Linked DNA regions of Arabidopsis thaliana. The protein of the gene in region 1 interacts with the protein of each later gene in a biochemical or structural test. Each region holds a gene or a part of one and is shown on either strand. Other genes may lie near its edges. The genes, in order: SHP1, AT2G41090, MPK4 and CAM8.

Region 1 (8,757 bases):
TATGGGAAACGGATCTCAACGGTAAAGTTGTTGGTGCTGTCGTTGATTCGTGGTGCGGAGACAACTGTTGCCCCGGAAGAAAATACAAAGACTATTTCAACTTCTCACATCCTTTGATCTCATCAAACTTAGTTCAAGAAGACTGTGCTTGGCTTTCTGGTATGAATGTCTTTGATCTCAAAGCCTGGAGACAAACCAATATTACTGAAGCTTACTCTACATGGCTAAGACTCGTGAGTGTAAATATAGAACGATCTCAGTTTTTGCGTTATGTATTCCGTACTCTAACTAGTTACACAAATTCTGATGTTTAATTTTAATGCAGAGTGTTAGGTCAGGACTACAATTATGGCAACCAGGGGCTTTACCACCGACATTACTTGCTTTCAAAGGACTTACACAGTCTCTTGAACCATCATGGCACGTCGCTGGACTAGGTTCTCGATCCGTAAAATCCCCTCAAGAGATTCTGAAATCTGCTTCGGTTTTACATTTCAGCGGTCCAGCAAAACCGTGGCTAGAGATCAGTAACCCTGAGGTACGATCTCTTTGGTATAGATACGTAAATTCCTCCGACATCTTCGTTAGAAAATGCAAAATCATGAACTGAGACTAAAAAACAGATTAGAAAACAAATATAAAGAAAAGAGAAAACTGAGTGATGAAGCCAATACTTGCGGCTGTGTGAGAGAACAGAGGGAAGAAGGTTTAAGCCTTCAGCCTCTGCTCATATTTCTCTCATGTCCATATACTAAACAGTAATTTAGATAAAGGACAGTATCAAATTAGACTTTAAGCGTATGAAGCTTCTTTTTGAGATCATTATCTCAAGTAGTAACTATAGTAAAAAATGTAATTTTGTTTAATTATAGCTACACATTAATTTATCACATTATAGATCTTTTGTAAGTTTTTATTTTTGTAATCCATAATTAATTTATGGACATGTTGTAATGATTTTATGATCAATGTTTATAGTTTTGCTTGTCTCTAATTGTGAGTGTTTGGTGGACATGATCTAATCGAAGCTGCAACTATATGTAAATATTAAAAGGCACTTAAAATCTATTAACTGATCGTGTATGCGTCTAATCTTGTATGACAAACTTTGGATCTCGACGTGTTTTAGAACTTTGGATTTAAATGTTGATGTAATTAAGCAAAGAAACAACAGTTTTGTTATTATCATTATTAGAACCTAAACTATGAATACACAGTCGCGTTATAAATATAAAATGAACTCTCTCGTCTCTCTCTTAATCGTTATGAGGAGAAGAAACAAGTTATCATGTTTTGAGTTACACAAGTTGAAGAGGAGGTTGGTCTTGGCCGGAGAATTGCTGATTCGGTTCAAGAAGGTTCACCGGAATATAGTTCCGATTATAATGCTGCGACTGGTCATGAGAAGATACACCGGATTCGTAAACTGTCGTCCCTTGTATCACACTCGATTCCTGCTGGTCCGGATTCAATCTGGCGCCTTCGGCTATCTATTAAACCCAAAAACAAAAGTTTTCTTGTTATTCACGTTATCTTAGTTATACAATGAAGAAAAGAGTAGATATTGAGATTAAGATTTGGAACAGAACGTGGCTAACCTTTGCTCGCAGGTACATGTTATTGTGTTGCAACTCCATTTCCTACACATGATTTATGGGAAAACTCAAACCCTCACAAAGACGAAGAAAGATCTAATTACTTGGAATGGGAGAAACGTTCTTACCCTCTTCTGCATATACTCTATCTCTGCCACTAACAGCTCATTCTGCAAAATTCTCACAAAAGGGTGATGAACTATATAAACTAAGGGACTATATATAGAGAGAGAGACAGAGACACAGAGAGAGAGCAACGTAGATTTTACCTTTTTGGAGCGGACACGGCTGATTCCTTTTTCAAGACGTCCTTCTAGGTTTTTGAGTTCCTTGAAGTTCAAGGAACCAAGTGATTCCCCAACAATATGCCTTCAATTTGTAAACATGAACATTAAACAAAACAACTTCTAAAGAAAACTACAAGCGGACTTTTGGACCGACACCAAATTAAGTGACCTAATACCAAATCGAAGAGTTCATGAAAAGTTAATGAATTACCTATTTGAATTCTGAATATCTCGAATCTGCCTCCGAAGCTTAGAGGCTTCTTGCTGATAGTACTTCAAAAATCCATGTATTCAAACACCATAACGAAACCGTTTCAATGCATTTCCAAGAACTCTCTCTTTTTGTAGGTTATATTTTTTGTTGATCATATATATAATGAAAAGAAGAAGATAAAACAAAGAGAATCAAACAATATAAATTGGTACCTGAGTATTAGCTTCGGTGACGGAAGGAGGGTTGACGGCATCGGAACAAGCTTTCTTGTACCTTTCAATTGTACCCCTCACACTAATAAGTAAGATCGCGGAAAAAACATTAGATGTATACATTGTAGGAAATTCTTGATTAATTAGAGTTAATTTCGAAATGTTTTTTTTCCTGAAAAGGGAAGGCTTTGGAGTTTGGACCAATATCTGACCAGTACGAGGAGAAAATTTATAAATTTATTCTAACACATGGCTTGAATAGATCCACAAGTTTTTTTTTTTTTCTTAATTCACAAGGTATTATAAACAAACAATGTCTTAAAGTAAGGATATATAAACATACTAGTAAATATTATGGTTTCGAAATTGGTAATTAGGGTTTGAGGAGGAATTAGACCATGTATCGTGTATATTACATGATTCAATGTCATCATGAAGGTATCTTTAAAGGACTTTTTTTTTTTTTTTTTTCTAATAACAAATAAATGAAGCTCAGAATGCCAGAGATTCCAATTGGCTCGTACCATTTTAATTTCCGACACTTCTCTGAGTTCTCTCCCTCTCATTGATATATCAATGCAACAAATATACATATATATATATATATACACCCTAAACAAAAAAAATAAAAGAGACTAAATCTTTAATTTCATTATTTGTACAATTTTACATTTGATGACTGATAACAATGTTAGACAAAGTCATCCGTGTGTTTATTGATTTTTAGGACTTCTAGTTGGACAAATTACCCTAAATACAAATCTACATAATATAAAGTTATTTAAAAAAGAGGGTTGAAAAACTTCAGCATATAAATTCTCAAAATTTTGTTTCATTTTTGTTGGGATTAAATGATCAAATGGATCCCTAGTGACAACTCATCAGTAGACTTTGTCCCTAGTTTCACCAGACAGAGGTTACATAAGTCTTGATCATCCCCTATTTTTATATATATATGCTAAATCGTGTCAAGAACCCAATTTTTTTCACTGAAGTAAACCCTAGGAAATTTGATGGGCCGTCAAAATTAAAAGTGTATTGTAGAAACTGACATGCATCAGGTTCAAATGATTTGCAGAAAAAAGAGTGAAACTAAGGTCAAAGCTGATCAGAATTTGAGAAGACAAGATAACTTTTTCTTCTTCTTCTTGCATTTGCATACATATACACACTTACACACACACCCACACATATATAGAGGAGAGAGTACTAAATCTAGCTAGAGAGATATTAAATGTATCAACAAGTGAAATCTGGTTTTCTAAATTAACCAAACCCTAATCTTGGCTCTCAATCCCCACTTTGTTATCATTTGAACTAGGATCTTGTTTAGTTAAAATTAAGAAAACAAGATCAAGAAATAGAGTAGGAGAAGCGTACCTGTTGTTGGCGTACTCATAGAGACGGCCACGAGTGGAGAAGATGACGAGGGCAACTTCGGCATCACACAAGACAGAGAGTTCATAAGCTTTCTTGAGAAGACCATTGCGTCGTTTGCAGAAAGTAACTTGACGATTTGTTGTGTTCTCTATCCTCTTTATCTCTATTTTCCCTCTCCCTAGTTTCTTGCTACTCTCTGCGTCGTGACTACTCCCACCTTCCTCCATTGATCCTATATATGACATCACCAAATAATTAAATAAAGATTTCTAAATTCAAGAAAGATATCTAGAGAGAGAGAGAGAAGGCTAATCTTGATGATCAAATCCCTTTTCCTGATCAAGAATACATAACCAAGAAATAGATCAAATCCATGTTCTGGTCTAGAATTAGGGATGTAACTAAAAAATAAAGAAACTTTGTGTGTTTAAGAGTTATTAATCTACTTTATAATGATCAAATCTCTTTGTTGATAAGCAATAACCAAGAAACATATCAAACCCATGAATTGGTTACACAAGAATCAGAGAAAGAAGAAACATTTATTTTAAATCTCTTATTTTTAGGGTTAATGAATGGTGCATAATATTCACAACCTTACCTGAGTTCTCAAGATTACGATAGATCAGCAAAAAGGAGAAGGTGGGTAATGAGAAACTGTTCTTGAAGAGAAACTATATCATTTATCTCAGTACCACTTAACTGCTGCTTCTGCTTTTCTAATTATGTTGTTCTTGAAAATATCTCTCTTTCCTTTTGTAATATCTATTTTGGTTTATGGGTTTTCAATTGAAGGAATATTTCTTTGAAGGTTATAAGACCCTACTTGCTGAAAACAGAAGGTTATTAGTTTTTCTTTGTGCTCAAATATATTTATACACAGAAGAAAAAAGAAAAAAATGGACAGATCATCTAACAATTGTCCAAACAGCACATACTCAACATACCTAGAAACTCACACTTTTTTATTCTCTATACATGCATATAAATAGATATGGATATCTATAAGTGAGATGTGTATTTTCTTTTTACAGAACTAGAAACTGAAATTGAAGGGGAAATTAATTAAATGGTTAATAATAAGAAAGAAAAAAAGAAAGAAGAGAAGAGTAGGTGGAGGACATTGAAGGAGGACCATCCGATTTCTTTCATGGGAAGGGGAAAAGGAGAGGGATGGGCTCTGTTTCTCATCAGAACCATCTTTTGGAAACTCCTTATTTTTGGTAATCTTTCTCACCTTTTCTCTCTTCCTTTTTTACCCTTCTGCATTACCATTAGATGCTCTCTATCGTATCAAATTTATGCCAAAGTCTAGAATGGGTATGTGAATCAAGCCAAGCAAAACCAAGCTCTAACCGAAACCAAATATTGTTTTTCTTAATGTTCATGAAGATGTTTTTGATAATCACTTTATAGTGTTGAAGAATGCAGTTAACGAACTCTTTTTGCAAGAAATATAATACAAAGTTGAGCTAGAACCCTAAAACATAAAATCAAGTTTTACTTTTAAGAAAAAACGTTTTACTCTTTATCAAAAAAAGTTTTAAGGTCACCAAATTACAAATATCGCAACTCTTGAAGAAAATCGGAAAATATCGCAAACTTCAGATTATTGAAGGATTCATGAATCATTTAGGATATCTTCCTCAATTTCTAGAAATCTTTTGTAAACCAAAAGTTTATGGTAATTTTGGAATTAAAAAGAAAAGGTGGACATATTTGGAGGGATTTTTTTTTTGCGTGGGGACATTCATTAACTACTTGCAACGTGAGGACATATTTAATTTATTTCATATATGTAAATACGCTATACAGAAAATGTACCAATGATGAGAAATGCATAATAATCTTAGGTGAATTAAATTGTAAAAATAAATGAAAATTTGAATCATTCATGAGAAAGTCGATGCCAAGAAATACACATAGAGACGTAGGTGTGGTATAATATGGATATATGATGACAGGGACTTGCATGTGAAACTTGCCTCAACTTCTCCTAGTACCTGAATCCTTTATGGGAAATAGGGTATAAGTAGTTGCTTATTGTTCTTTAGTCCTTCATCTTCATTTTTCTTTGTGCTTTGAGCTCTCTTGAACATTGTGGATTTCGAATCTTTCACTCTCTTAGTTTCATCCTCTACAAAAATATCCAGACCAAATAAAAATCATATTAGTCTTTTCTTTTGCGTGGGTCCTCGAGTGACAACAAATTTGATAAGACATCTTGATTAAATTCTGAGTATCTAGACATCGCTCATGATTCAAAATTGTTGAACATAACTGTCAAATTTCAAGCATTTTTTAAATAGAAACTAAACTTAATGGAGTACTTAAAAAATATTTAACAGATTATTTTCTTTTCGATTTTTTTGTTAATTAAAAAAAAAGTTAGGACGAGAAGTCATATGCGAATACACTACTTTTAGGCTTAAAAAAGATACAATTTAGCGACTAAACCGAGAGGAATTTGACAATGATATTACTATCTATGAGGTGGTTAATCTTATCGCACAAACGAAAGACTAAATCTACTAATATACGTATCTAATCTTCCGTGTAAATTTTGTCCATATATATTTAGAAACATTGAATCTTGATTATGAGGTTAATTATTTCATTTATGGAGATAATATAATCTGAAAGGTTTGCCGTATTGTGTCTTAGTGAAGAAGTAATAATAATGACATGCATGTTAAAGTTAAACGTGTGAATTAGAATTGCACTGAAAGCAAACTTGAGAACTTGATGATGAATACGTTGGATCCACAAATATGACCACTGATACAGAAATCCATATTTAAAAAGCCAATTTGACACTTGGCTGGCAACATATTAGGGAATAAGCATTATCTCTGGCATTGTCAAAACCTCTTCAAGTCCATTTTGTTTTCTCTTTTCACTGTTGCAGATCTCACTAGTAGTCCAATTTAGATTGCATTGCGGAATTTATAGATACTCGAACCTTTTGTTTGTTGGTTATATTCAGGATGAATATTTTAAAAAAAAATGATGAGAAGACAACTTAATTGAGGGAACAAGAAATTAAGGAATGGTGACTAATCATACGAATAGTCATAATCATCCACAACCCTTGTCACAGTTCACATTAACTATTCGTTTACAAATGGAAACTCTCTTTGTTCCATACCTCCCTGTCTTTCGTTGTAATTAGTAATTGCATTTACTATTAATCATTTAGTCAAAAGTCAAAACTTATCTTAAATTGTGCCAAGTCATTTCAAACATTTGGAAGGACTTATGTTTTGTTTCATCTTTGCGGGAAAAAATTATGGTTATTTTCACCAGCTAATAATATCTCTAGTTTAATTTCTGTTAGATGCAAGTTTAAAGCCATTTAGAAGTACTCTAACGGGTAACAAGCTCTCAGTTTAATCATTGGCAATTTCTTTTTTTATAAAAAAATTGACCACTGCTGAATACAACTTCTGGTTAATTTTGTATGCATCTCGACTACTGCAAAGTCTAAATGCGTTGTTTTTTTAATTTTTTTTTATATATGCATAATAAGTTTTATCTAAAATCTAGAGATTCCAATTCTTTTGATAGGGAAAAATTGAGAAACCTTATTTTTTTTAATAAAAAAGTCACATATAAGTACTTCTTTCAAAAACTTCTTTAAAAGTGTTTTAGATAAAAACACAGAAATGAAAAAAATGAGACACATAAGTAAGGATTTGTGAAGAAAGACCAAATGAGGATAAAACCCAAAAACAAAAGACCAAATGAGAATCAGATCTTCTTTGCATCAGTTTGATCCTTTTTTGTTTTGGGTCTGTTGGAGTATATTCTTTATTTTACTATCTCACTCAAGATTCTTCCTGGTGATCTTGAATAACGTGCATATAAGAATGTTTATGGATTCCAAATTGATACATGACACTAAGAACAAATTTATCTTGATGCCGATTTATGTTCTTTAATTGCTAGCTAGATGATCCAGATATTCCAGATAGAATCATAGTAGTATACAGAACAAACGCAGAATTTCTAGAGGGGACTCGCATGCTTATACGGATCTAGAAGCTTTTGGTGTTGTACGACTTAAACAAGGCAATCATGTACAACAATTCATTCCGAGTAAGGCACTAACACCAAATAATTCATAAAACACACAAGGGATGGTTCAAACAATACAAGGCTATATACCCTTAGACTCCTAGATTAGTGATTTCCTAATTTGCTGGCCTGCAAAGAAATTCTTTAACATAATTTAAGCCACCTTGCATTGGCAGCAACTTGGGGACTTTATGGTTCTTCATTGGATACTCCTCTACGGGTGCTACCCGCTTATTTGTAGTTCCAACGTTTATGGACGAAGATAACCTTGACCCATAGAAGGACGTTAGTTGCTCGCTGGGGTTGACGAAAGACAATTCAGAACAAGAGTTCTCAGATGAACTTTGAGCCCAAGGAGTCTGTGACCGTCTAGCAGAATTTGTACTCGATAAAGGCAATCCGAAAGATCGTTTTCTAGCATCAGGTAGGAGACCAATATCAACATTGTTATAATCATATGGAAAAGGTAGTTGTTGCTGGCTGAGTGTGAAACTGTTTGGTGGCCCTAAACCAGACCCATGGAAGTTGAGATTCTTCTCAGACAAAGGAAAAGACGCGAGCGAGCAACATGGATTCAGGATTGTGGAAGGAAATTCTGAATCAGGAACAGCATATGCTCTGGATTGAGAAGCCAAGCTGACAAGTGGTTCACAAAACAAAGGAAAGGGATCTTTTGAAGTATCACGTAGCAGAGCTTTGTTCCAATTCTTATCCAATATTGTGGTTGAATGATTCTCTGAAACTTCAAGAGTTGTCCTTTGACATACCCAGCTTTGATGAGTATAGGTCCCCAGAGAGGAATAATCTATAGAAGCATCCGGTCCTATGATCCTCTCACCCGTTCTAATCATACCTGAGTAACTTGTGCTGACAGAAACATCCTTACCCATCAGCCGCATTGTTGCTTGAGTGTTTTGTAAACACAAATCATCACGCTTTAAAATCACCTTTCCGCTATTTAGGTTCTGTTTGACACCATTACGCTTTGACAT
Region 2 (6,501 bases), on another chromosome or scaffold:
TAATATTTGTTTGTTTGTTGTTAGTTGGTCTAGTCATCACATTGAAACTTGCAGGCTTATACACATGAATTAGAGATCAAGGTTTCAAGGTTAGAAGAAGAAAACGAAAAACTTCGGAGGCTAAAGGTAAAAATCCCATCTCTGCAGCTTGCTTCATGATCTAGTGTCGTTTTAGATTTAGTGGTTTTCTTTAATCTGATTATAATGGCAGGAGGTGGAGAAGATCCTACCAAGTGAACCACCACCAGATCCTAAGTGGAAGCTCCGGCGAACAAACTCTGCTTCTCTCTGATCCTAAAGACTCTTCTTTCTTTCTTCTTCTTTGTGTTGGTTTATATCAGACCGCTTTGTTCTTTGTATATTGTGTAGACTTTATTGACTTTGAACAGCATGTCTTTATAAACATTTCTTGAGTGTATTCCTCTTTTGCAGCTAGTTCAAACTTTTTGAGTACAAACACTAGTTCAAGTATGAATTCGACAATAGTTTTAGTACCTTACACAATTAAGCAATAGATTGATGGTTATGCTAAACCGTTTTTGATACTTGGTTACTAATACTTATTGGGCTTCTGATTACGGCCCAATTAAATCGAGTGTCTAATTATTCGTTCCTTCTTCTTCTTCGAGCAACGACAGTCCCTGAGAATCCAAATCGGAAACAATCTCCGGCAATTCAATAGTAAATGCGTTGCTCAGTTTCCTCTGTTGTTCGTCCACTATCAGTAGATCCTGCGACAGCCATAGCTACTTTGTGCTCAAAGGGTAACCTTCGAGAAGCTTTCCAGAGATTCCGACTCAACATCTTCACAAACACTTCTCTCTTCACCCCTTTTATTCAATCATGCACCACCAGACAATCTCTTCCGTCCGGAAAGCAGCTCCATTGTCTTCTCGTCGTCTCCGGATTCTCCTCCGACAAGTTCATATGCAATCATCTGATGAGCATGTACTCCAAGCTTGGAGATTTTCCTTCCGCTGTTGCAGTATATGGACGTATGCGTAAGAAGAATTATATGTCATCTAACATACTCATCAATGGGTATGTTCGTGCAGGCGATTTGGTAAATGCCCGGAAGGTGTTTGATGAAATGCCTGATAGAAAGCTCACAACTTGGAATGCTATGATTGCTGGTTTGATCCAGTTTGAGTTTAACGAAGAGGGTTTGAGTTTGTTTAGGGAAATGCACGGATTGGGGTTTTCGCCTGATGAATATACTCTTGGTAGTGTTTTTAGCGGATCTGCTGGGTTGAGGTCAGTGTCTATAGGGCAGCAGATTCATGGCTACACGATCAAATATGGGCTTGAGTTGGATTTAGTTGTTAATAGTTCGTTGGCTCATATGTATATGAGAAATGGGAAATTGCAAGATGGCGAGATTGTTATAAGATCAATGCCGGTTCGTAATTTGGTTGCATGGAATACACTCATCATGGGGAACGCGCAAAACGGATGTCCTGAAACCGTGCTTTATCTGTATAAGATGATGAAAATCTCAGGTTGTAGGCCGAACAAGATCACATTTGTAACTGTGCTCAGTTCTTGTTCTGACTTAGCGATAAGAGGTCAAGGTCAGCAGATTCATGCGGAAGCTATTAAAATTGGGGCTAGCTCTGTCGTAGCTGTAGTTAGTTCATTGATCAGTATGTATTCAAAATGTGGGTGTCTTGGAGATGCAGCTAAAGCTTTCTCGGAACGTGAAGATGAAGATGAAGTGATGTGGAGCTCAATGATTTCTGCTTATGGGTTTCATGGACAAGGCGATGAGGCAATCGAGCTGTTTAATACTATGGCAGAGCAGACGAACATGGAGATAAACGAGGTCGCGTTTCTGAATTTACTTTATGCGTGTAGTCATTCTGGCTTAAAAGACAAAGGGCTTGAGTTGTTTGACATGATGGTGGAAAAATACGGGTTCAAGCCAGGTTTAAAGCACTACACTTGTGTGGTGGATTTGCTCGGTCGAGCAGGCTGTTTGGATCAAGCCGAGGCAATAATAAGGTCTATGCCAATAAAAACAGACATTGTTATATGGAAAACATTGTTATCTGCGTGTAACATACACAAAAACGCAGAAATGGCACAGAGAGTCTTTAAAGAGATTCTTCAGATTGACCCTAATGACTCTGCTTGTTACGTCCTGCTTGCAAATGTTCACGCCTCAGCTAAGAGATGGCGCGATGTATCAGAGGTGAGAAAATCGATGAGAGATAAGAATGTGAAGAAAGAAGCGGGAATCAGCTGGTTTGAACACAAAGGTGAAGTTCATCAGTTTAAGATGGGAGATCGCTCTCAGTCTAAATCTAAAGAGATCTATTCATACCTGAAAGAACTGACTCTGGAGATGAAGCTGAAGGGATACAAGCCTGATACAGCGTCAGTATTGCATGATATGGATGAGGAGGAGAAAGAATCAGACTTGGTGCAGCACAGCGAGAAACTAGCGGTTGCATTTGCGCTCATGATATTACCTGAAGGTGCACCGATTAGAATAATCAAGAACTTGCGGGTTTGCAGTGATTGCCATGTTGCTTTCAAATATATATCGGTGATCAAGAACCGAGAGATCACGTTAAGAGATGGTAGTAGATTCCATCATTTCATTAACGGAAAGTGTTCTTGCGGCGATTATTGGTAGCTGGGCAGTTAAAGTATGCTATGACTCTCTGCTTCAGAGTCTTTCTGGAGTCTTAAGCACTCAGATTGGATCGGGAAGCCATCTGGGACGAAAGCATTCAGCAGCAAGGGTAAAATTACACTGCGGGTAGTAGCTTTGTAGTCTACCTTGAGATTGCTCCTGCCTGTGTTATTCTTGAGTCAGGAACATGAAGTGGTTTGCTGTCAACTTTACTTACTCAAGCCATCTCCGCAAGGTAGAAACTATGGTTCGCGTTATTTCGTATGTACCATGTTTTTGGTCGTTTGTGTAGTTTCTAACCTTCCACACCCTTGGCTTGCGATTCTTTCCAAAGCAGAGATGTTAGATCAGAGGATGGAGTGGGTTCTCAAGTAGAATGCACTTGCGAATCCCTCAGATCAGATTTTTCATAGGTAAAGTTCGTTAACTTCAACAACACCACTTTAGTAAACATGTGATAATCAATCGTCATAAGCATCTTCGATTCATTTTTATCTTATGCAAGTGTTTGCTTTATTATGATTTGTTAAGTTTTGCATAAATACGGACGTTGAAGCACTTCCCAGAACTCATGAGTGTTTTTATAAACTATTTATTAAAAGTTAGTATAAGAAAACTATAACATAAAAGTAAAATATAATTTAGACAAATGTAGCGATTGGTCCAGTTACTCATCCAAAATTCCAAATGAATCTTCCACCGTTGATAATTCTATTCCATTGTTTTCTTCTGTAGAAGACCATATATTATTAAGTCTCTAGTCCATTGTCAATAAATGGAAATACAAAAAAAAAAAAAAAAAAAAAAAGAAGAAGAAGAAAAAGACAGCATTTAATGAACGAAAATAATATTAATGAATTTGGAAGAAGGAACGAACCAACGAGAAAAATCAACGAAATAATTTAGACAAATGTAGCGATTGGTCCACTACCCATCCAAAAGTCCAAATGAATACTTCACCGTTGATAATTCTATTCAATTGTTTTCTTCTGTAGAAGACCATATATTATTAAGTCTCTAGTCCATTGTAAATAAATGTTTCTTTCAAATAAATGGAAATACAAAAAAGAAAAGAAAAAAAAGACAGCATTTAATGATGATAACGATTTGGAAGAAGGAACCAACCAATTAGAGTAACAAACCAAGGAGGCGACTCACATGAAAGCAAAAGCTGACATGGCAGTGAATTCAGTTTTATAAAAAAGGCTTCAAGGCCGAGAGTTCGTAGTACAAACTCTTCTCTCAGTCATCACAGAAAATAAAAAACAATGGCGAATAAGTTCACTAGACAACAGATTTCAGAGTTTAGGGAACAGTTCAGCGTATACGACAAGAATGGTGATGGTATGGTTCATCGTCTCTATTCCTCTAATCGTACATATTGGATCCTGAATCATCTTCAAAGCACTGAAAATGACTAACACAAGTCCTTGATTACTTCTTGTAGGTCACATTACCACAGAGGAGTTCGGTGCCGTGATGCGTTCCCTCGGTTTAAACCTGACCCAAGCTGAGCTTCAGGAGGAGATCAACGATTCGGATTTAGATGGTGACGGAACCATCAATTTCACTGAGTTCTTGTGCGCAATGGCTAAGGACACTTACTCTGAGAAAGACCTCAAGAAAGATTTCAGACTCTTTGACATAGACAAGAATGGTTTCATCTCAGCTGCTGAAATGAGATATGTGAGGACTATCCTCCGGTGGAAGCAAACTGATGAAGAAATCGATGAGATTATCAAGGCAGCTGATGTTGATGGTGATGGTCAGATCAACTACAGAGAGTTTGCCAGGCTTATGATGGCCAAGTGAGATTTAAACAACTTTTCCGCTTCCCCTTTTTTTACTACCTCTTATCTAATTTCATAAAGAATGTTCCTCTCTTGTTCTTAAATTTCATTCTGAGTTCTTGTGTGTATGGCTAGGAATCAAGGTCATGATACTAAATATGACACAACTGGTGGCACTTTGGAGAGGGACTTGGCGGCCGGGGTTGCCAAAAATATCATCGCAGCGCCAATGACCGACTTCATCAAAAATTTGTTCGAAGCGTTGTTTTCTTGAAATGGTACATCAGTAACTTTATGCCATTAGGGTCTGGCTGGTATGTTAGATCTCTCTAAAAAGGCGTTTGATCTTTGAAAATAATTTCTATGTAATAAATTTATTGTGTTACCATCTTTTCTTGCATGCAATTTATTAAAATGAGTTTGTAATATGGTTTCAGTATCGAATATAATTGGGGTATCAATGTATCTTTTGAGAAAAACATTTAAAACGTAGCAGAACTAATTATTGAAAACTGGTAGCATTACTAAAAATTGATCTAAATCGGTTAATGATTTGGCACATACAGTGATCAAATCAGCTAAGCCTCATATCTCACCGTCCCAGAGTTCTTCAAGACTCTTATAAGGACTCATCTAATGAATAATGACATGCCTCGCACCAACCTGCCCTGCAACATTGAAAACACACGTCTACAATTTCGATAACCCAAGTGTTTTGAGCAAAACAAAGGACGCCCTTTGACCCATTTGGACTACAATGTGTGGAAAATTACTGCATGTTCAATATCAGAAAACTTGGATAACATGTCTTCGATATGGGCTTTTCTTATTTTGTACCCGTGTAATTTCGCTGGCCCAAAATCCAAAGCAACAAGGGTAAATTTGTATGCAGTACATGTGGCATGTTGGGTCATATGGAAACAGGTCACAAGACTCAGATTCTTTACATTGCGGCGGGTAGTAGTAGCTTTCTAGTCTACCTTGAGATTGCCCCTGCCCGTGATTCTTGAGTCGGGCACAGGAAGTGGTTTTCTGTCAACTTTACTTGCTCAAGCCATCCCCGCAAGGTAGAAACTTCTGTGGTCTTTCTCGTTATTTCTTATGTACCATGTTTTTGGTCGTTTGTGTAGTTTCTTCTAACCTTCCACACACTTGTCTTGCGAATTCCTTCCACAGCAGAGATGTTAAATCAGGAATATTCAGGATGTAGAAACTTCTCTGCTCTTTCTCAAGTAGAATGCACTTGTGGAATCCCTCAGATCAGATTTCATTGGTAACGTTCGTTAACTTCAACAACAACACTTTACTAAACATGTGCTAATCAATTGTCATACGCTTGTATTTCTTCGATTCATTTTTATCTTATGCAAGTGTTTTCTCTATTATGATTTATTTAGTTTTGCATAAATAAGGACACTCCTTCGGAGTCAGTATAAGAAAACTATAACCTAAAATATAAATTAGGCAAATGTCCACTCACCCATCCAAAATTCCATTGTAAATAAATGTTTCTTTCAAATAAATGAAAAAAAAAAAAAAAAACAAGTTGGAAGAAGGAACCAACCAAGTAATTGCCAGTCAAAGGAGGCGACTCACACTTGAAAGGATAAGCTGACATGGCAGACAACGATCCTGCGTAGAAATTGCGTGAACGTGGAAAAGTTTGAGGATATAGCCGTCATTTCAAATAATTCGGGTACTATTATATAAGGCTTCAAGTCCTGGTTCGTAGTACAAATTGTCTCACAAACTCTTCTTTCAGTCATCACAGAAAACAAAAAAAACAATGGCGGATAAGCTCACTGACGATCAGATTACAGAATACAGGGAATCTTTCAGGTTATTCGACAAGAATGGTGATGGTATGGTTCATCAACTCTTTCCATTTAATCGTAATGTTGGATCATGATCATCTTCAAAGCAATGAAATGACTAACACAAGTCCTTGATTACTTTTTGTAGGTTCCATTACGAAAAAGGAGCTCGGTACCATGATGCGTTCAATCGGTGAAAAACCGACAAAAGCTGATCTTCAGGACTTGATGAACGAAGCGGATTTAGATGGTGATGGAA
Region 3 (8,458 bases), on another chromosome or scaffold:
AAAACTTCCAAAATATTTAATATCATTTAATTACTACAAAATTATCATTTTTGATATTGGTTTCTCCATGACTATAACAACTCGATTATAATCATCAAAACGCAAAGATATTTGATAACATTTAATTACTACAAAATTACAAAATATTTAGACAATAATTCATAAACGTATCATAAATAAGATCAACATTAATAAAATAAATAGTTTTTTTACGGGACGGATTGGCGGAACAGGTTTGGCATGACGATACTTAATAACAATTGTAAACTATAAAATAAAAATATTTTATGTATAGATTCAATTTGCAAACTTTTATGTATAGTAACTTTAATAAATAAATTGTTCCCGCAGTGTACTGCGGGTTCAAATCTAGTAATATACTCCCTCTGTTTCATATTAGTTGTAGTTTAAGGTTACACACAAATTAAGAAATCATAAAAATCTCATTTAATATACCTCTTTTATATAAAAACTTCATTTATTATAACCAATTCAACCAATAAAAAAATAGATGATTAAATATAATTGGTTAAAAAATATTAAATACATTTATTATTTGCATAGAAAGTTGAAAACAACACTTAAATTGAAAAAAAAAAAAACCGTTAAACTACATTTATATAGAAACAGAGGGAGTAGTAATTTGAAAAGAATAATAATAATAAATGTTAAAGTATTTCTTTGAGTTGAGAATTTAGGTCGATTTTTACGAACATATGCTCAAATGTGACGTATAAATAAATGCGTATCAATATTGATGCTTTGTTCAATTACCAAAAAAAAAAAAAAGATGTTTTGTTCGATTCGATAAATGTTGGGGGCAAAACAGAGAGATGAGCAAAACATGGGATCCCGATAAATAAATAAAGACAACTCTTGTCCTTGTATAAATAGACTTGCATCTTCAAGATATATATGTACAAGTCTCTTTACACCTAACAAGACACAGTACTAAATCATTTGCAGCTTCTTACAATGTCGCGACCAATCTCGCTTGAAGGTGAAAACATAACTTATGTTGTGTCTGATGATCTCTTAGTATCATTATGAGTTCCAAGTTTTAATAATTTTCTCATTCTTGACAGAAATGGTGAGACTGTTCAAAGTACGTCACGCAACAGCTCACATGTTCAAGATAGACCATTTCTCTTTACTCAGAAAGCATGGAATCGAAAAGGTCGAGTCCTCTGTTTTCGATCTCGCTGGTCACAAATGGTGAAGTTGTTTATAATCTTGTTATTATGCTTATTGACATACAAAAGAAAACAAAGATGGTGATCATCCTCTTAACGACTTGATTGGTAACAGGAAACTCTCTGTGCACCCAAATGGCCATACAAATGCTAAGGGGACACATTATGTCTCCCTCTACTTAATGAATCAAGCTCCGGTATATGATACGCTTACATATGAGCTTCTTGCCGTCAGTCAACTTGAGCCAAAATGGCACACTCACGGTCTCTCTCACTCTCTCTCTCTCTCTCTCTTGCTTCATTCAATCACGCATACATCTGTGTGTATATAGGTTTGATACGGCGTCCATATATGTTGATGTGCAGGAAGAGATGAATACGAAACCAATGAAGAACTGGGTAGTGAGGGGTTTCGTGAGTTCATATCTCTTGTTGATCTTAAGAAAAATGGTTTCCTTATTGGAGATTGTTGTATGTTTGGTGTCAAGTTCCATGGGATTGAACCTGCTAAACCCGGAACAGCGGAAAGTTTTAGCTTAATAGAGAAGCCTCTTAATCACAGAGTCACTTGGATGATGACCATGTTCTCGTCCTTCAACCCTGGAAACGTTCATCAGTCTAATGAATTTGTCGTTGGAACCCGGAAATGGTTGATATTATATTCCTCCTTTTTCCCAAAAACATAACACAACTTATATATAATACTAATAAAAATGCATCACAATATATTTGATCAGGAGAATTAAAGTTCATCCAAGAGGGTCTATGGGTGAAAAAGACAAATCATTTTCTGTGTATCTATCGGCACTAGGGTTTGTCAATAATGCACCAAAGACTAAAACTTACGCGAGGTTCAAGCTGCGTGTATTGGATCAAGTTAGCAGGAATCATGTTGAGAAAACAAGTATGTGTTTATTATGTTTTGGAAAGTCTTGTGATGCATGATGGTTAAATACAGTACTAATCTTTTTCTCCTGGTACGTATAGTTTCGGGTTGGCTTGGTGCAGAACCTGATGACCGCCATGGCTTTGCGGATTTCATGCCTCTAGGGGAACTTGATGACCCTTATTTGGTGAAGGATAAGCTTTATGTGGGAGTTGACTTTGATGTCATTTCCGTCTCTAATTACTGTTAGCTATATAATCAGCAAGAAATATTTATAACGTATGAATAAAATGCTGGAGAATATATATAGTACTATTATGTAACTAAGCTACTGATGCCGTAATGACTTGTGATGTGTGTCGACGTACGTGTTGCTGGAGATGAAGATGATGTGCTTGGCGTGTATTTTCAGTTTATGGGCATAACAAGACAATCTACAAGATTTCATAAGCCCAGTTTATCAACTATAGAGACTTGGTTCTCAATCGTTATTGTTTCTTGTTAGTTTTGTTTTGCAAATAAGATCTTGTTTTTTTTTCAAGGAATCGTGAGCATTCCATTGCTTTTACTACCTATATATATGAGAAAAACGCCAAAAGAAAAGACATAATTTGTTTGCCAAAAGAAACTTGTGTTCCACGTTGGGGATTCTTTGATCTTCGAACACAATCACAACCTCAACGACGTCACTCAAGTCTCCGGCGCTTTGGAATACGAGTTCTGCGACTCTTCTTCTCCTAAAGCCGTCTACAACCCTGGACACGATATCGTAACCCTCACGGAACCAGGTTTTCACTAGTTCATCAGCTCAAACCATGCTCAATGCGCATCGGGACAGAAGCTCGACATTCTTGTCGTTCATGACTCGTCACGTCCCATTCCTCCAACACCACCGAGCAAGATCCTTCCTCCTTGAAATATCTACAGAGTTGGTGTGGCTCCAAGGGATGGAGTGTTCCGCAAGAAAGTTACTTTTATTACAGATGGAGTGAGAAGACGCAGTTTCCGATCGGAGACAGTCTTCTTTTCGAATACGACAACGAAGTCAACGACGTCTTAGAGATCAGCGGGGACCTTGAATTCATATCCTGCTACCCGATTTCTCCCGTAGCCGTGCACATGACAGGCCACGATCTCGTCACGCTCACAGAACCAGGAGTCCATTATTTCATTAGCTCTAAGACTCCAGGTCACTGTTACGCTGGGCTTAAGCTACGAGTCGTGGTCGGACCACTCACCAAAGCCGTACCTGTCCCCAATGTTCCGACGAAGAAGATAGAGTTGTCACTTATGGACCGCTTCAACAGATGGTTACGCACCTTCGGACCTCAACCCCATCATTAAGATAATTAGTGGATGTAATTAGAGTTAAGACTTCTCTGTATTTTCTTTCGACTAAAAAGTAAGGAAATTTAAATACACTCTATTGCAAAACACAGCTCAAAGGTTGTTCTTTTCTTTTTTTCCAATTTTTTAGGATGTTATTCAAATTACAGACATATTATCAAACTTATCAGAGATTTGATAACAAAAGCAGAGCAAAACAAAACATAGCATTTTGATGAGTTTCCTTTTAAGGATATATATCTCTCTCTCTTTCTCTCACACTGAGTCTTGAGGATTGAACTTGACTGTTTCACGGTATATAAGCTCCTTAATGTTCTCTTCTGTCAAAGTAGGTTGCTCGAAATCAAAATTGAACGGCCTCACACATACCGGTTCTTCGTTGATATCATGCAGCGGCGCCAAATATGGGTGGCACAACGCCTCATCAACTACACACACAAAAAACATGTTCAGAAAATAGCCGAAGAAACAGAGAAGCAGTTATATAAAATATAACTCACCTGTGATGCGTCTGCTTGGATCAAAAACAAGCATTTTCTCCAGCAAATCGACTGCACCAGCCGACATGTTTGGGAATCTAGCAGCAAAGTTCTGTCTAGGGTACTGTGGAAGCTGTCTAACGTATCTTCTTGCATTGTCACTTCTTAAGAATCCCAAGCTTGAGTCATCAGGAGATCCTATAAGCTGCTTTCCAAAGATTCATTAATACCGTGAAGAGAGACTAAGTGGTGATTCTTTGGATGAAACATACTAAACTAGATTACCTCAGTGATGAGTCTAAGCTGATGAACATAATCTTTACCGGGAAACAAGGGCTCTCGTGTCATTGTTTCACCGAGTATACAACCGACAGACCAAATATCAATTGCTGCTGTGTATTCAGAGCAATTAAGTAGCAGCTCTGGAGCTCGATACCAACGTGTAACAACATATTCAGTCATAAAGTCAGTCTCGGATTTGGTCCTCGCAAGCCCGAAATCCCCAAGCTTTAGATCACAATTTGCATTCAGGAGCAAATTGCTAGGTTTCAAATCTCGATGCAATACATTAGCTGAATGAACATATTTGAGCCCACGCAACAACTGATACAGAAAAAACTGCAAAACATAATCGAAACTAATTACTAAACACAACTTCAAAGCATAACAAACGAAATCCTTATTAGCTCTCACTTATAAAGTATCAAGCAATACTCATCAGATGCTCTAACACAATAACAGCTGCTTCTAAAGTAGAAACAGAAGATTCAGCTGCTAGATATAAGCAAGATGGAGATTGATGCATACCCGACAATGATCATCAGTTAAGGGTTGGTTAGAGCGAATAATTTGGTGGAGATCAGTGTCCATAAGCTCATAAACAATGTAAACATCATTGAAGTTCTCTCTCTGCGGTGGTTTTATTATATCCTTTACAGCAATCACCTGCACAATAAACCAATATAAGATTCACACAAAAAAAACCAGAGATGCTGATGATTAGTAACACGTACATTTTCATGATCCATATGCTTGAGAAGCTTAATCTCTCTCAAAGTCCTTTTAGCATCGATAATATTGTCAAAAGCATTACCAATCTTCTTGATAGCTACCTCCTCTCCAGTCTCTGAGTTTGTAGCAGCACTGATCAACAATTATCAACACAAGTTATTATAATAACAACAGATTCCAAAACCCTAATTCCCAAATCTAAGAACCCCAGAAGTGAACATTACATGTTTCAAAAACCCAATCTGATTAATTTTGGAACTCACCAGACAATTCCATAAGCGCCTCTACCGATAGGACGAAGAGGAGGAACATACTTTCTAGAAACTTCGAAGAGATTGCCATAGACATTATACTGAACATAGCTACCACCATGAGTAGCCACTCCTTTGCTGCTGCTTTGATCACCCGAGCTTCCGAAACAACTCTCCGCCGACATCGGAGCAAAATTCCTCACAACAACGAAAACGAAGAACCCTAGAGAAATTGAGGAATCGAGAAGATGGGTGTTGACATTTCGTTATAAAGTCTCTACCTTTACCCTTTTTTTTTTATTGAACGGTAAAGAGGAAGTCTCCTCTCGAGTCACCCGTGACCCTTAAACCGGGTTTGCGTCTTCTTCTTTGGTTTTTGTTCTTTTTCTTTGTAATGTCAATTTTCAATTTTGTTTATGGTATCGAGTTGGGTATATCCGATGATTGTGTCTCTAAGTAATTGAGGAACGGGTAAGTGTTTTTAGTCAATTGGTTAAGTTTTGTTTACTGGAGTTTGCTTCTACTAAATCGCGTTATCCCACGAAGTAGAGATTAGATATGGTTATGACTTTTGCCGAAAAAATGTAATTGATGAAGTTTGTAGAATGGAACAAGTTAATGACTTCATGTAGGAATGTTCTTGATATCATATTATAAAGTTTAAAAGAATCTAGATGACAACTTTTCTCCAATAAGAATTTAAGTACGACTTGGTATATTGGTGGTGTACAAGTCAATGGGCGGCCAAATTGTTTTTGACCATAAAACTGACCTTTGATTCCAAAACCATTAGTGAAAAAAGGTTTATGTATAAGATAAAATGACATCATTTTGATTTTTTTTAAAAAATCATGGTTAAACAACTTATATAACCATGTTGAAGTTTGGTGCATTTGTTATTATTAATAGCTAGAATATCTGGTTTGCTTTGATTGATTGATCATGTAACCATGAAAATAACACTGATTTTTTTTGGTCTAGTGATTTACAATGGGCCTCAAGCAAACCCATCACTTATCCATTATCAACTAAGATGAACTAAAGCACAATTCTGACTAACTTGAAAATGTAGTTATAGCTTAGCACCGATTGAAAAGAGAGAGTTATCAATATTTGAAGCGTTTTAAAGTCTCATTTTTATCTGCATTTGTTATTACTTAACATCAACGATACCATAATTACATGTTTCCTCTATATTCACAAACAAGTCTTAGCTCTTTTCCTCTATATTAACACTTTTAACCATCGTTGGCAATGTCACTCCTAGCTCTTCTGCGCATTTCGTCCACAGGCTCTCCAACAATGCGTCTCGGGCAGAGATCACCATCTTCGACAAGCAACGTGTTTCCTTGGAGACTAGCTCAAACCTTTCCGAAAGTTCTATCACTGACTTCTCCAATGGTTCCACTAACAAAATAGGAACCGACCCTTCTTGTACCGCTGTGTAAAGCTTCTTCACACCGGTTTCAACAGCCTCGAGATCTTTTATAACCGTGAATCCGTCTGATAAAAATGTGTTTTTGATCTCCGGGTTAATAGTGTTCTGCAGTTCCATGAAAGCTTGAACCCATGGAAGCTCCTCCATCTCCTTTGGAATGGTTAGATAGAAGAGATTCTTGGAAGAACCCGAGAACGATGCATCAAACACGCTGAATATGTATAAAGTCTTGACCTTTACACCGTATAAAACTCGTAAGAGAACTTTTCCTTCCGCAGAGTATTTCTTCTTCCCCTTCTTGGAGATATGATGATGATGATCCATCGATTCAACCAGCCTACTCAAAACCGCGCCCCAGTTTTCGATACTCGGGTTCTTGGAAACCATGTGCTGATTCCAACGCTGAAGAATATTGCCACTGTTTGTCTCCAGCTTACTAAAAGCAAACTTTAGTAATAGATTGCCATGTTCCAAATGATATATCTCTGAGGTAAAGGCGTTGCAGAGTTCCCGCTTCAAGCTAAAGTCAGAGAAGATATAAATGAAATTCTCCTCCAAATCCGATACTGGAACCTCTAAATCCTTCACGAGCGTCCTGATACTCTTGTGTGTCTCACAAAGAGACTGCATGGCTTGTATCATCCAAGAAACACTAACGATATCATTCTTATCCTTTGGTACAAGTTCTCTAATCGATACCGTCAAGTTAGTCTCGAAATTGTTCAACAGTGAGAGAAGCTTTGGCGATAATCGAGCATTGTTCTTCTTCGTAAACAGAATCTTGAACGGGTTCCGAGAGCGTGTACGTTGTTGGCTCATATCAACTGAAAACACACAGAAAGAAGAAACAAAGTTAGTAATCTGAAACAATGAGCAAACCAATAACATTGTTCTGAATCCAAAATCCGAATCAATAGATCTCAAGAATGCAAAGACAGAACAAAAACCATTACTTTAACCAAACTCGCCGAAGATTAACGAAAACTCACCTAAAGAAAGAGATTCTTCCGAAATGTTACCGCTTACTTCAATGTTACGCTACTTCAATGAAGGAGAGAAAAAAACCCAAAAGAAAGTATAAATAGGAGATGGGTTTAGTGTATGATAATAAAACTTGAAACGCGTTCTTATAGGGAGGAATCAAAGAAACGTGCCGTGTGCTGCAGATCAACGCAATCGCTACTTTAAGTCCCGCGTTGGTTTTGGTAGTTGTAAAGGATTTTTCCGTTTCACCTACGCGGCAGTGACGAAGAATAGAGACAAATACACACGTTTACGGTTCTGATGTCTCAGTTATAGTAGATTTTTCCACTCAATCGTTGACATTTGTCAGCATAACGCTCTATAAGAAAAAGTGGTAAATATAGCCGCCGGATATTTATCAATCCAAGGGCTATAAACTTCTGGTTTCGTCTTTAAAACAATTCTTTATTTTGAGGGTATATTTGTCATTCTCACGTTGCTTTTCAAGCTTATATTACTGGGCCGCGTTGGGCTTTTATTGGGTCAAAGCGACAAGTGAGTTTGATATATTTCTTAGCGCTAAAGTAGATGAAATCTTTGGAAAGCCTTCGATGAATCTGAGAGGCAGCATATGATAGATTATATAAACAAATATAACTAATTTATATCATTGAATATATTTAAGATGTAATTTGATATTATTTATAAATTTTCTTCTTTAGTATAAAATTGAAAACAAGTATTTATACTATTAATTGGGAAGTATTTTGTGAACTACAACATTATAAGGGTAGTTTAAAATTAACTAAATGAAATTTTACATGGGTAATTTAGTAAATTAACTACTACTAAATGAATTTAGTTTCCATAAAAATCAGGCTATTGATTTC
Region 4 (7,592 bases), on another chromosome or scaffold:
ATTATTCTGAGAAATTGGGAGGAAATAAGTGAAAGTGTGGATTGGGTTTTCTCTTTTCTGTATACTTAAATTGGGATTTTCTGTTTGAGGGGTTTTTGATAAAGTGTGGAAATTTTTTTACTACCTGTAATTTTATTATTATTTTCTTACTAAATATTATATGGGCATGGCTTTCTCACAGTCTCACTTTTCTTTTTTTTTACATAAATCATTTTCAATTATTCTTTAAAGTGTCTAGACTAGTGGTTTAGCCATTAGATATTTTCGTTTGAGTGAAGGAGTTCAACTCCTCACTTTCATGAGGAAAATAATATCCAAATACTTTAGCATTCACATAAACTCAATATGCTGCTTTGTTTTAAGATTTTTTGCATTTTCCACAAAAAAAATTGTGTTTCGTATTCATTCGCTAAATATAATTCCAAAATCATATTGAAACACCTATAATCAAAGATTGCAAGAAGAAGAAAAATATCATATCGAAAAAGCTATAATATAGAAACAAACTATGTATAAACAGAATTCCAAAATCATATAGAGAAAGCTATAATATAGAGATTATATTGGATTTGACAGCTTCACAAGTGATAAAACAAAACTGGATCTGAAAATTTCAATGAATGTGGAATAATGGAGAATTTGTTGAGATGGTGTGAACACGAAGTAGTAACAACTAACAAGGTAATTAAGGATCATTGGCTTATATAATAAATAGATTTAGAAAAAGTAATCAGTCAATGTTGATCATCATCTTGACAAATTCATCATAATTGACTTGGCCATCACCATCCAAATCTGCCTCCTTTATCATTTGTTCAACTTCTTCATCTGTTAGCTTTTCTCCTAGATTTATCATTACATGACTCAACTGCAATAACAAAGCTTTTCAAATTAATAAATAATTAACGTAATTGTTAGTCTAATTATTGTAAATTAAGTTGTGCATGTTAATCAGACGGGTCTGACCCTGTACAGAGAATAATAATTGTTTATTATCCATTTGAATATGCAATACAATATAGTAGGTCAAACGGCCTAACTTGAACAATTTCTAATTTCGGTACGAAAAATATGAATAAACCAAATTCATACAATTGTTTAGTTTTTTTTTTTTTAAGTTGTAAGCAAAATACAGCTGGTTTTAGCCTAAGTTTTGACCAATCGATATAGAAAACCCCAAATTAATAAATTGAATTGTGTTGCATGCAAAAAGGTGTCTGCATTAATGTAACTTTTGAGGATGTAAAGAAAGGTATATATATTTAATTAAACTAGGTGAAACATGTGCCCTCCTGTCAAATAAACCAATAAAATCAAACGCATTTTACTCTATCTAACTACTTTGTATTAAAATTTCTTTTGTTCCTCTTCGTTATTCTCTAAAGATTCACAATGCCAGCTAGCTCTAAGCCCTCACGATGGAAAACAGACTTTCGAAAATATAAAATCAAATAAATAAATGGCCATGTCTTGTTAAAAAATGTTTTAGAACATAAATGAGACAACTATGGATCTCTTTAAATTGGAAGATCGTCTGGCTTTGTTGTCTGATATTTGTCATTGATTCTACATATGTGAAAGTGTGTTTTAGCTGGATTTCTCGTTTTTTCTAGTTAATGCAGAATTAATTGGTCCAAGTGGTTACATAAAAATACTATGCTCATAATTATTGTGCTTAGCCTGTATTTGACGACACTTTAGAGATATAGAGCATGTACCACTTAAGCAAAGAAGACATTTATGAAATTGGTTCATGTACCTAAACTAAATTTGACAATAACCAAAATTTAGATAAGGATTTCTAGTAGATACAAAAATCTAAATAATTATAGCTCTAATCATTTATAACCAAATAAAAACACAGTTAGACCGTACATGGTATTATTGGAGAACGTTGTACAAAACGCAATCCAGTGCATCGAACTAATTTGTTTTTATAAGTTCTTAAAGAGGATTTTCCGCATAAGTTCCCTTTTAAGTTCTCAATAAGTCAAGCATATATCTAACTAAATATACACATTGACACATATATCAAATTAGTAATAAAGAGAGAAAAAAAAGAGAGTAAGAGTCACGGACCTCACTGGCAGAGATGTATCCATTTTGGTCTTTGTCAAAGACTTTGAATGCTTCTTTCAGCTCTTCCTCCGCATCACTTTCCTAAACCATCACATGATCATGACAACAACTTAACATACAAAAAAACTATTGTCATAAAAGTCTTTGTTTACATTATACACATTTACGTGTCTAGTTCTTCACAAATCAGATTTATTCGTAGTGAAAAACCGAAAGCAAAACAGATTTTGCTGTAATACAAAAGCTGAATATTTCCAATATATTTCTTAAGAGTTTTTAATAAACTAGAAGCATAATGAATGAGACAGCTCCATTTTGACTAGAACCTGTTAGGATCCCATATCAAAGAGTTACAATAAGGGACCTATAACATAATATATAAGAAATCATATAGACAAAAAAATTTCACTTGATGTAACTTTTTGGTTTGTACGTGGCTACGTTAACTTGATGTAATTAGTTGTGAAATAAATAAGCATGAGAGATCAAGAGAGAGTGGAACCTGAAGTTTTTTGGCCATGAGGTTGAGAAACTCAGCAAATTCAATGGTGCCGTTGCTATCAGAATCAATCTCAGTGATGATATCATGAAGTTCTTGTTCTGTCGGATTCTGATCCAACGAACGGATCACTGTTGCAAGTTCTTCCACCGTTATACAACCTATTAAAGGATTCCAAACAACCATAAATAAATGTCACACAACATAATATTAGTCGTCGTCTTTATTATCTTTATTCTATATATGACCATCTAGAGAAAGGAAGAGAACCGTCGCCGTCTTTGTCGAAGAGACAAAAGGCTTCTTTGAACTCAGTGATCTGATCTTTTGTCAGTGCTGTTTCTTCCATTGTTTTCTGAGAATATTTTGAAGACAAAGAGAGAGAGAGAGAGAGAGGAGGGAGCTCAAGGTTTGAAGTGCTTAAATCTCTGATTTATGGTCTATATGTAGAGTTGTGACAAGACCTTTTCTACATTGGACTTATGTACTTTTCAACTACTTTAAGCTCTTTAATTGATTCTCAAATTATTTTAAATTGAAAGGGCAGTACTGTTTTTTTTTTGGGTCTAGAACTCTTGGATTGAACAATTTAATTCTAGTCACATGGCTGAATCCCATATAATAAATTAATAATTGTCGCTGTTTGTTAAAGTTCAAATCACTTGTGCAAAATTAGTTTTGAAAAAATCATCTTATTCTAACAAGTAGAGACTACTACAAATAGACATAGAACGACAAGTCCTAAAACAAACAAGTATAAGCCTACAATAGTCTTTGATAAAACGTCCCTAACTTTTTCTGTCTAGTTCAAACCCATTAGCCACTCATTTTGTACGCAACAATTATGTTCTTTTGTTTTTTGTTTTTTTCTGTTTTTTCTTAAATAAAAATAAAAATATTTTATTGAAATGATAAAAATATAAATTTACAATCAAAAGATTTTAAGCCTATACAAATGATCCTATAACAAGAAAAATAAAACATAGAAGCATACATCGTGATTCACAAGTTTTGGTCAATCAACTCAACCAAAGCGTTGAAGCCGAACGAGTTAGATAAAAATATGACTATTTTGAAATTTTATCTTATAATTAAGTTTTTTGTTTTTTGTTTTTTTAAGAAGAAGGGTAACTACTGCTTGAAAAAAGCATAATGCTAAACTATTTGCATTAAAAACTTTGAATTGGAGGTCTAAGGATGAGCCGTCAACGGTAGAAACTCAAAGTTCTCTGGCATAAACTCCTCTCGCGTCATGTGACAGTGACTCGTTGTTCAAGTCCATAAGCTTTCCAATAATATGGAACCTCAAGAACCAAATTATGCGAACGATGCAAGCTCCATCTACCAATTTCTTTCCCCAAAGTCGGATAGAGCAGAGCATGATTTATGCGATTCATAACCACATCGAACACCATCGATCTTACTAACTCTTCTAGAACACAAAACAAACGCAACAAGAGGTGATAACTCATTGCAGCACTAACTTCAATTATGAAGAACCGCACTAGCAAGACACATTCAAAACCAGGTAGCACAAATAACTAGTCAAGAAATACAAGTGATGTCAACAAAAGAGACCGCAATTTAGCCACCACCGCAGCTACCAAATACACAATCTGAGAACCGAGACGATGCGATAAACTTGACGCTTTAAACATGTTCTTTTGTTTTTTCTGACTTCAAAATCAGTGATCACACTCTTTTAATACTCAGAAAGAACAACATTGAAATTTGTCTACGTACATCTCAACATAATGACCTCATTGGCCATCTTACCCGCTCCTGTCCATAGAAGACATATTAACGTACAACTCGACTGTCCATAGCTGTGAATGCATTAAGGCTATGAAGCTTAACTTGGCCAGCATGATTTTGTAGAATCCGTGCGTTCCCACACAATGATTTAAAAGTTTATCCACACAAATCATTCTATTTTCAAATTTGTTCCGATCGACGACATTTTCTAGAATTCACGGAGGTAGGAATTTTGAGAATATTACAGATTCATTTGAATCACATATTCACACCACTTATTTATTTTCCTATACATTTTGTTTGAATAATTGCGACTGTTTTTATATAACAGATGAAAATATATATTCCACGTCACATATCATAATTGAGAAGAATATCTACTGCTAAAAGATTGTAATCATTAAGAAGAATATCTACTGCTAAGAAATAATTTAGGAGATACTTGCTGACTTGCATTGAATCTGCAATTGGTATTCGAACAGTAGGGGAAATGCATGTATCATACGTTGCATTATAAGTTCATAAGCACGATATAAGAAAATAATTATAAATAAACGATTAGACGTAGCAAATTAACGAACCAGCAATTTCTTTTTGAAACGATTCAACTTTTCATATTTTGAGTTTCTAGAAACGAATTGTAAAAACAAAAAAAAAAACAAAATTATGGGGCTTTTCTTCATTAGTAATCTTTGCATTTTTACTCTTCCTAGGTGGGAAAATAATTCAGGTTAAAATATAGATAAAATATATTTGCAACCTTAAATAGCTCACTTTAGTAATACTTTTTTGACCCCTTTAATTAAAAGAATTAACATAGGGAAATTAACGAATATTTGTTTTATGTCATTGCAATTACAACAAAATATTTAGACAACGAAGTACGTTGTCCTTTCGGCTAATGGAGTAAAGAGGAAAATGAAACTGATGGGCCTCAGCACAAACCAAGCCCAAGAAACAAAAGTGGAAGCAACGGTCATCTGGTTCAAGCAAACAGAGCTTAGAAGTTTCCTCAAGTAATGACAAAAGTGGAGCTGGCAATAAGGAGATAACGACTTCTTGTATGGGAAAGCAGTTCAACATTAAGCTCGAGAATCGTTTCTCAACCCTTGATTTAGAAAACTCAACCTGATGTATGACATCTGTCAAATCTCTCTAAGGTTTAGCCAAGTCTCCACCTTTGTATTTAAACATCCTGAAACTCAAGTTGTAAGCTTTAAGCATTCTATCAATGGAAACCTAAAAGGATTGATTTTGTCTTCAATGTGAAGCGTCAACTTAGATATTCTGACTAAGAAAAACGACACGACATGATATTAGAACTGATAGATATTTGTGAAATATGATGCATGGTTTTTCTCTTTCTTTTTTTAAAGAATAGAATGCATAGTTTGAAAATGAGCTTTAGCTTATTCACATAACAAATAACATGAGACTATGAGAGAAGAAATTTTATATTTGCCACTAAAATTATAGGTTAAAATTCAGATTATACTCTTGAGTTTTTTTAATCCCAAAAAACCTCTCGTATTTGTAACCACTGTATAGAATTTTCAGTAACTAATAAAAAATGTAGGTTAAACCAGCGGTTATATATGATTTTGTATTTGAGAGATTATGTTTTGGGGAAAGCTTCGATAAAAATCTATATATCTGCTTAATTGCGTAAAGCATTTGCTAGATTATGCGTCTAAGAACAAGCCTATTAATCTGCTGATTTTCTCAACCAAGACATTTTCATTCTTGGGTCTTGGACTATGGTTTGCTAAACAAATATGTGAAAAAAACGATACTTTGCTACTTACTGGCAAAATGAAAATCAAAACTTTTTTACGTCTTTGGAAATAGTTAACTCTTGATGATTCTTTCTTGCACTATTTTATTTAAATGCTTGAGAGAAGAAAATTTCAGTGAGAAGCTCACATTTGCATTATTGAGATTGGGTATTGAAATACTTTGGATTTTCCTTGCATACATTCTGTAACGCTGCTTTATCCATTTGGGGAAATCAATCTAAGAAATATTTATTGTTAACTCTCCTTGTTTGGGTATTATTATTCTATCGTCACACAGTAACTCTGATCTCTTCTCCACCCAATGGCGGAGACATAAATATTTTTTAGGAGGGTCAAACTTATCGTTAAATTTTTCTAAACATTCTAGGTATTTCTAAACTATTAGTTATTTTTCATTCCCACCAAAAATAATAATAATTGTTTTCATAGAAGCAAAAATAATATCATCATTCTTGTAAAGTTCATAAATTATTGTTGTTTCTGGATATAATAAAAATACTTAAACTTTTTTTTGTGAAAATACATGAGTAGGTCACATGTTATTCTTTGTTTTCTATTTAAATTTAATCTAAAATACTGGTAAAAGAATGATATACATTTTTGTTACTATAAAACATTTCGTTACCCACACATATAGATTAGTTTTTGTGTATCTAAATTCATGTTTTTTATTAGTAATATGAATTTATAATTATATTTAGTTAATTTTATAATACAAGAATTAACTTTTTCCTGAAGAAACACGAAGGTTATGCACAACATGCTTAATAGTTTAACACAAATAGAAAATTAATTAATCAATGACCAAAATATTATTAAGATAAAACAACAACCAACATCATATACATGTCACAGTACGGCTGAACCATGCTTGTATTAATAAAGTAATTCCAAAGACTATATTTCTTATTACATTATTAGAACCTGGCTTGTAAATTCCTGACCGCATTAACATCCATTTGGAATGCTCTTGCAAGAACATTCGGGTCTACATCTGGTTTAGACCCAAATATTGTGTTAGCAATTGTGATAACACCTGCGTTTTGGCTGCTCAAAGCAGCGATTGCAACTGCTGGAGTTCCTCCTAGGTTGAACTGGAAATGGATGAGTCCTTCTGGAAACACAAATACGTCACCCACGTTGAGTGTTTTGGCGAAAAGACGGTTTCCGTCTTGGTTTGATGAGATAAACCCTACAAGTAGAGTTCCTTGTTGAACAACCAAGATCTCGGTGGCACGTGGGTGGGTGTGAGGTGGGTTCTGACCGTTGGGTGCATAGTCTATACGAACAAGTGAGATACCAAGAGTGTTTAGTCCTCCAAGGTTGTTAACATTGACGGTTGTCACGTTGGACCCAACCGCGTTATTTGTATTTCCAGGTCTGTTGAGGCTCGAGAAAAAGAAATCATCCGCGAAAACTATCCTTGGATCCTTGCAAAACTTTCCATTCACAAACACTAGACA

The links.
Region 2: the proteins of SHP1 (region 1) and AT2G41090 form a complex in vitro, tested with the Arabidopsis thaliana proteins (one large-scale study listed by BioGRID).
Region 3: of the proteins of SHP1 (region 1) and MPK4, one has a biochemical effect on the other in vitro, tested with the Arabidopsis thaliana proteins (one large-scale study listed by BioGRID).
Region 4: the proteins of SHP1 (region 1) and CAM8 form a complex in vitro, tested with the Arabidopsis thaliana proteins (one large-scale study listed by BioGRID).

The regions. Positions count from the first base shown.
Region 1 is NC_003074.8:21,734,308-21,743,064, reverse strand, and holds SHP1 (K-box region and MADS-box transcription factor family protein), read right to left. Parts: upstream 4,906-8,757; 5' UTR 4,290-4,905; intron 4,183-4,289; exon of another isoform or gene 3,934-4,182; coding exon of another isoform or gene 3,916-3,933; coding exon 3,689-3,915; exon of another isoform or gene 3,149-3,688; intron 2,800-3,148; coding exon of another isoform or gene 2,762-2,799; intron 2,593-2,761; coding exon of another isoform or gene 2,556-2,592; intron 2,391-2,555; coding exon 2,309-2,390; intron 2,156-2,308; coding exon 2,094-2,155; intron 1,965-2,093; coding exon 1,724-1,964; intron 1,641-1,723; coding exon 1,599-1,640; intron 1,491-1,598; coding exon 1,299-1,490; downstream 1-1,298. Other genes in the region: GAUT15 (galacturonosyltransferase 15), read left to right, coding at 1-233, 326-610; AT3G58770 (uncharacterized protein), read right to left, coding at 7,882-8,757. UniProt on the Arabidopsis thaliana protein: Probable transcription factor. Interacts genetically with TT16/AGL32 in a partially antagonistic manner during flower development. Is essential for the coordination of cell divisions in ovule, seed coat development and endosperm formation.
Region 2 is NC_003071.7:17,131,917-17,138,417, forward strand, and holds AT2G41090 (Calcium-binding EF-hand family protein), read left to right. Parts: upstream 1-3,430; 5' UTR 3,431-3,906; coding exon 3,907-3,982; intron 3,983-4,085; coding exon 4,086-4,446; intron 4,447-4,563; coding exon 4,564-4,702; 3' UTR 4,703-5,083; downstream 5,084-6,501. Other genes in the region: EEL (Basic-leucine zipper (bZIP) transcription factor family protein), read left to right, coding at 55-126, 212-292; AT2G41080 (pentatricopeptide (PPR) repeat protein), read left to right, coding at 686-2,638; AT2G41082 (uncharacterized protein), read left to right, coding at 2,909-3,013; TCH3 (Calcium-binding EF hand family protein), read left to right, coding at 6,215-6,290, 6,391-6,501.
Region 3 is NC_003075.7:564,113-572,570, reverse strand, and holds MPK4 (MAP kinase 4), read right to left. Parts: upstream 5,655-8,458; 5' UTR 5,353-5,654; coding exon 5,180-5,352; intron 5,049-5,179; coding exon 4,919-5,048; intron 4,851-4,918; coding exon 4,713-4,850; intron 4,524-4,712; coding exon 4,191-4,523; intron 4,111-4,190; coding exon 3,927-4,110; intron 3,855-3,926; coding exon 3,682-3,854; 3' UTR 3,424-3,681; coding exon of another isoform or gene 3,007-3,423; 3' UTR 2,849-3,006; coding exon of another isoform or gene 2,705-2,848; 3' UTR 2,567-2,704; coding exon of another isoform or gene 2,495-2,566; 3' UTR 2,330-2,494; downstream 1-2,329. Other genes in the region: AT4G01390 (TRAF-like family protein), read left to right, coding at 976-1,000, 1,086-1,215, 1,309-1,457, 1,560-1,842, 1,931-2,097, 2,181-2,329; AT4G01380 (plastocyanin-like domain-containing protein), read left to right, coding at 2,495-2,566, 2,705-2,848, 3,007-3,423; BPS3 (BPS1-like protein), read right to left, coding at 6,378-7,424. UniProt on the Arabidopsis thaliana protein: The ANPs-MKK6-MPK4 module is involved in the regulation of plant cytokinesis during meiosis and mitosis. Essential to promote the progression of cytokinesis and for cellularization (formation of the cell plate) during male-specific meiosis.
Region 4 is NC_003075.7:8,393,135-8,400,726, reverse strand, and holds CAM8 (calmodulin 8), read right to left. Parts: upstream 3,016-7,592; 5' UTR 2,928-3,015; coding exon 2,849-2,927; exon of another isoform or gene 2,765-2,848; coding exon of another isoform or gene 2,740-2,764; coding exon 2,582-2,739; intron 2,161-2,581; coding exon 2,080-2,160; coding exon of another isoform or gene 2,032-2,079; exon of another isoform or gene 2,022-2,031; intron 869-2,021; coding exon 731-868; 3' UTR 501-730; downstream 1-500. Other genes in the region: GLP9 (germin-like protein 9), read right to left, coding at 7,047-7,585.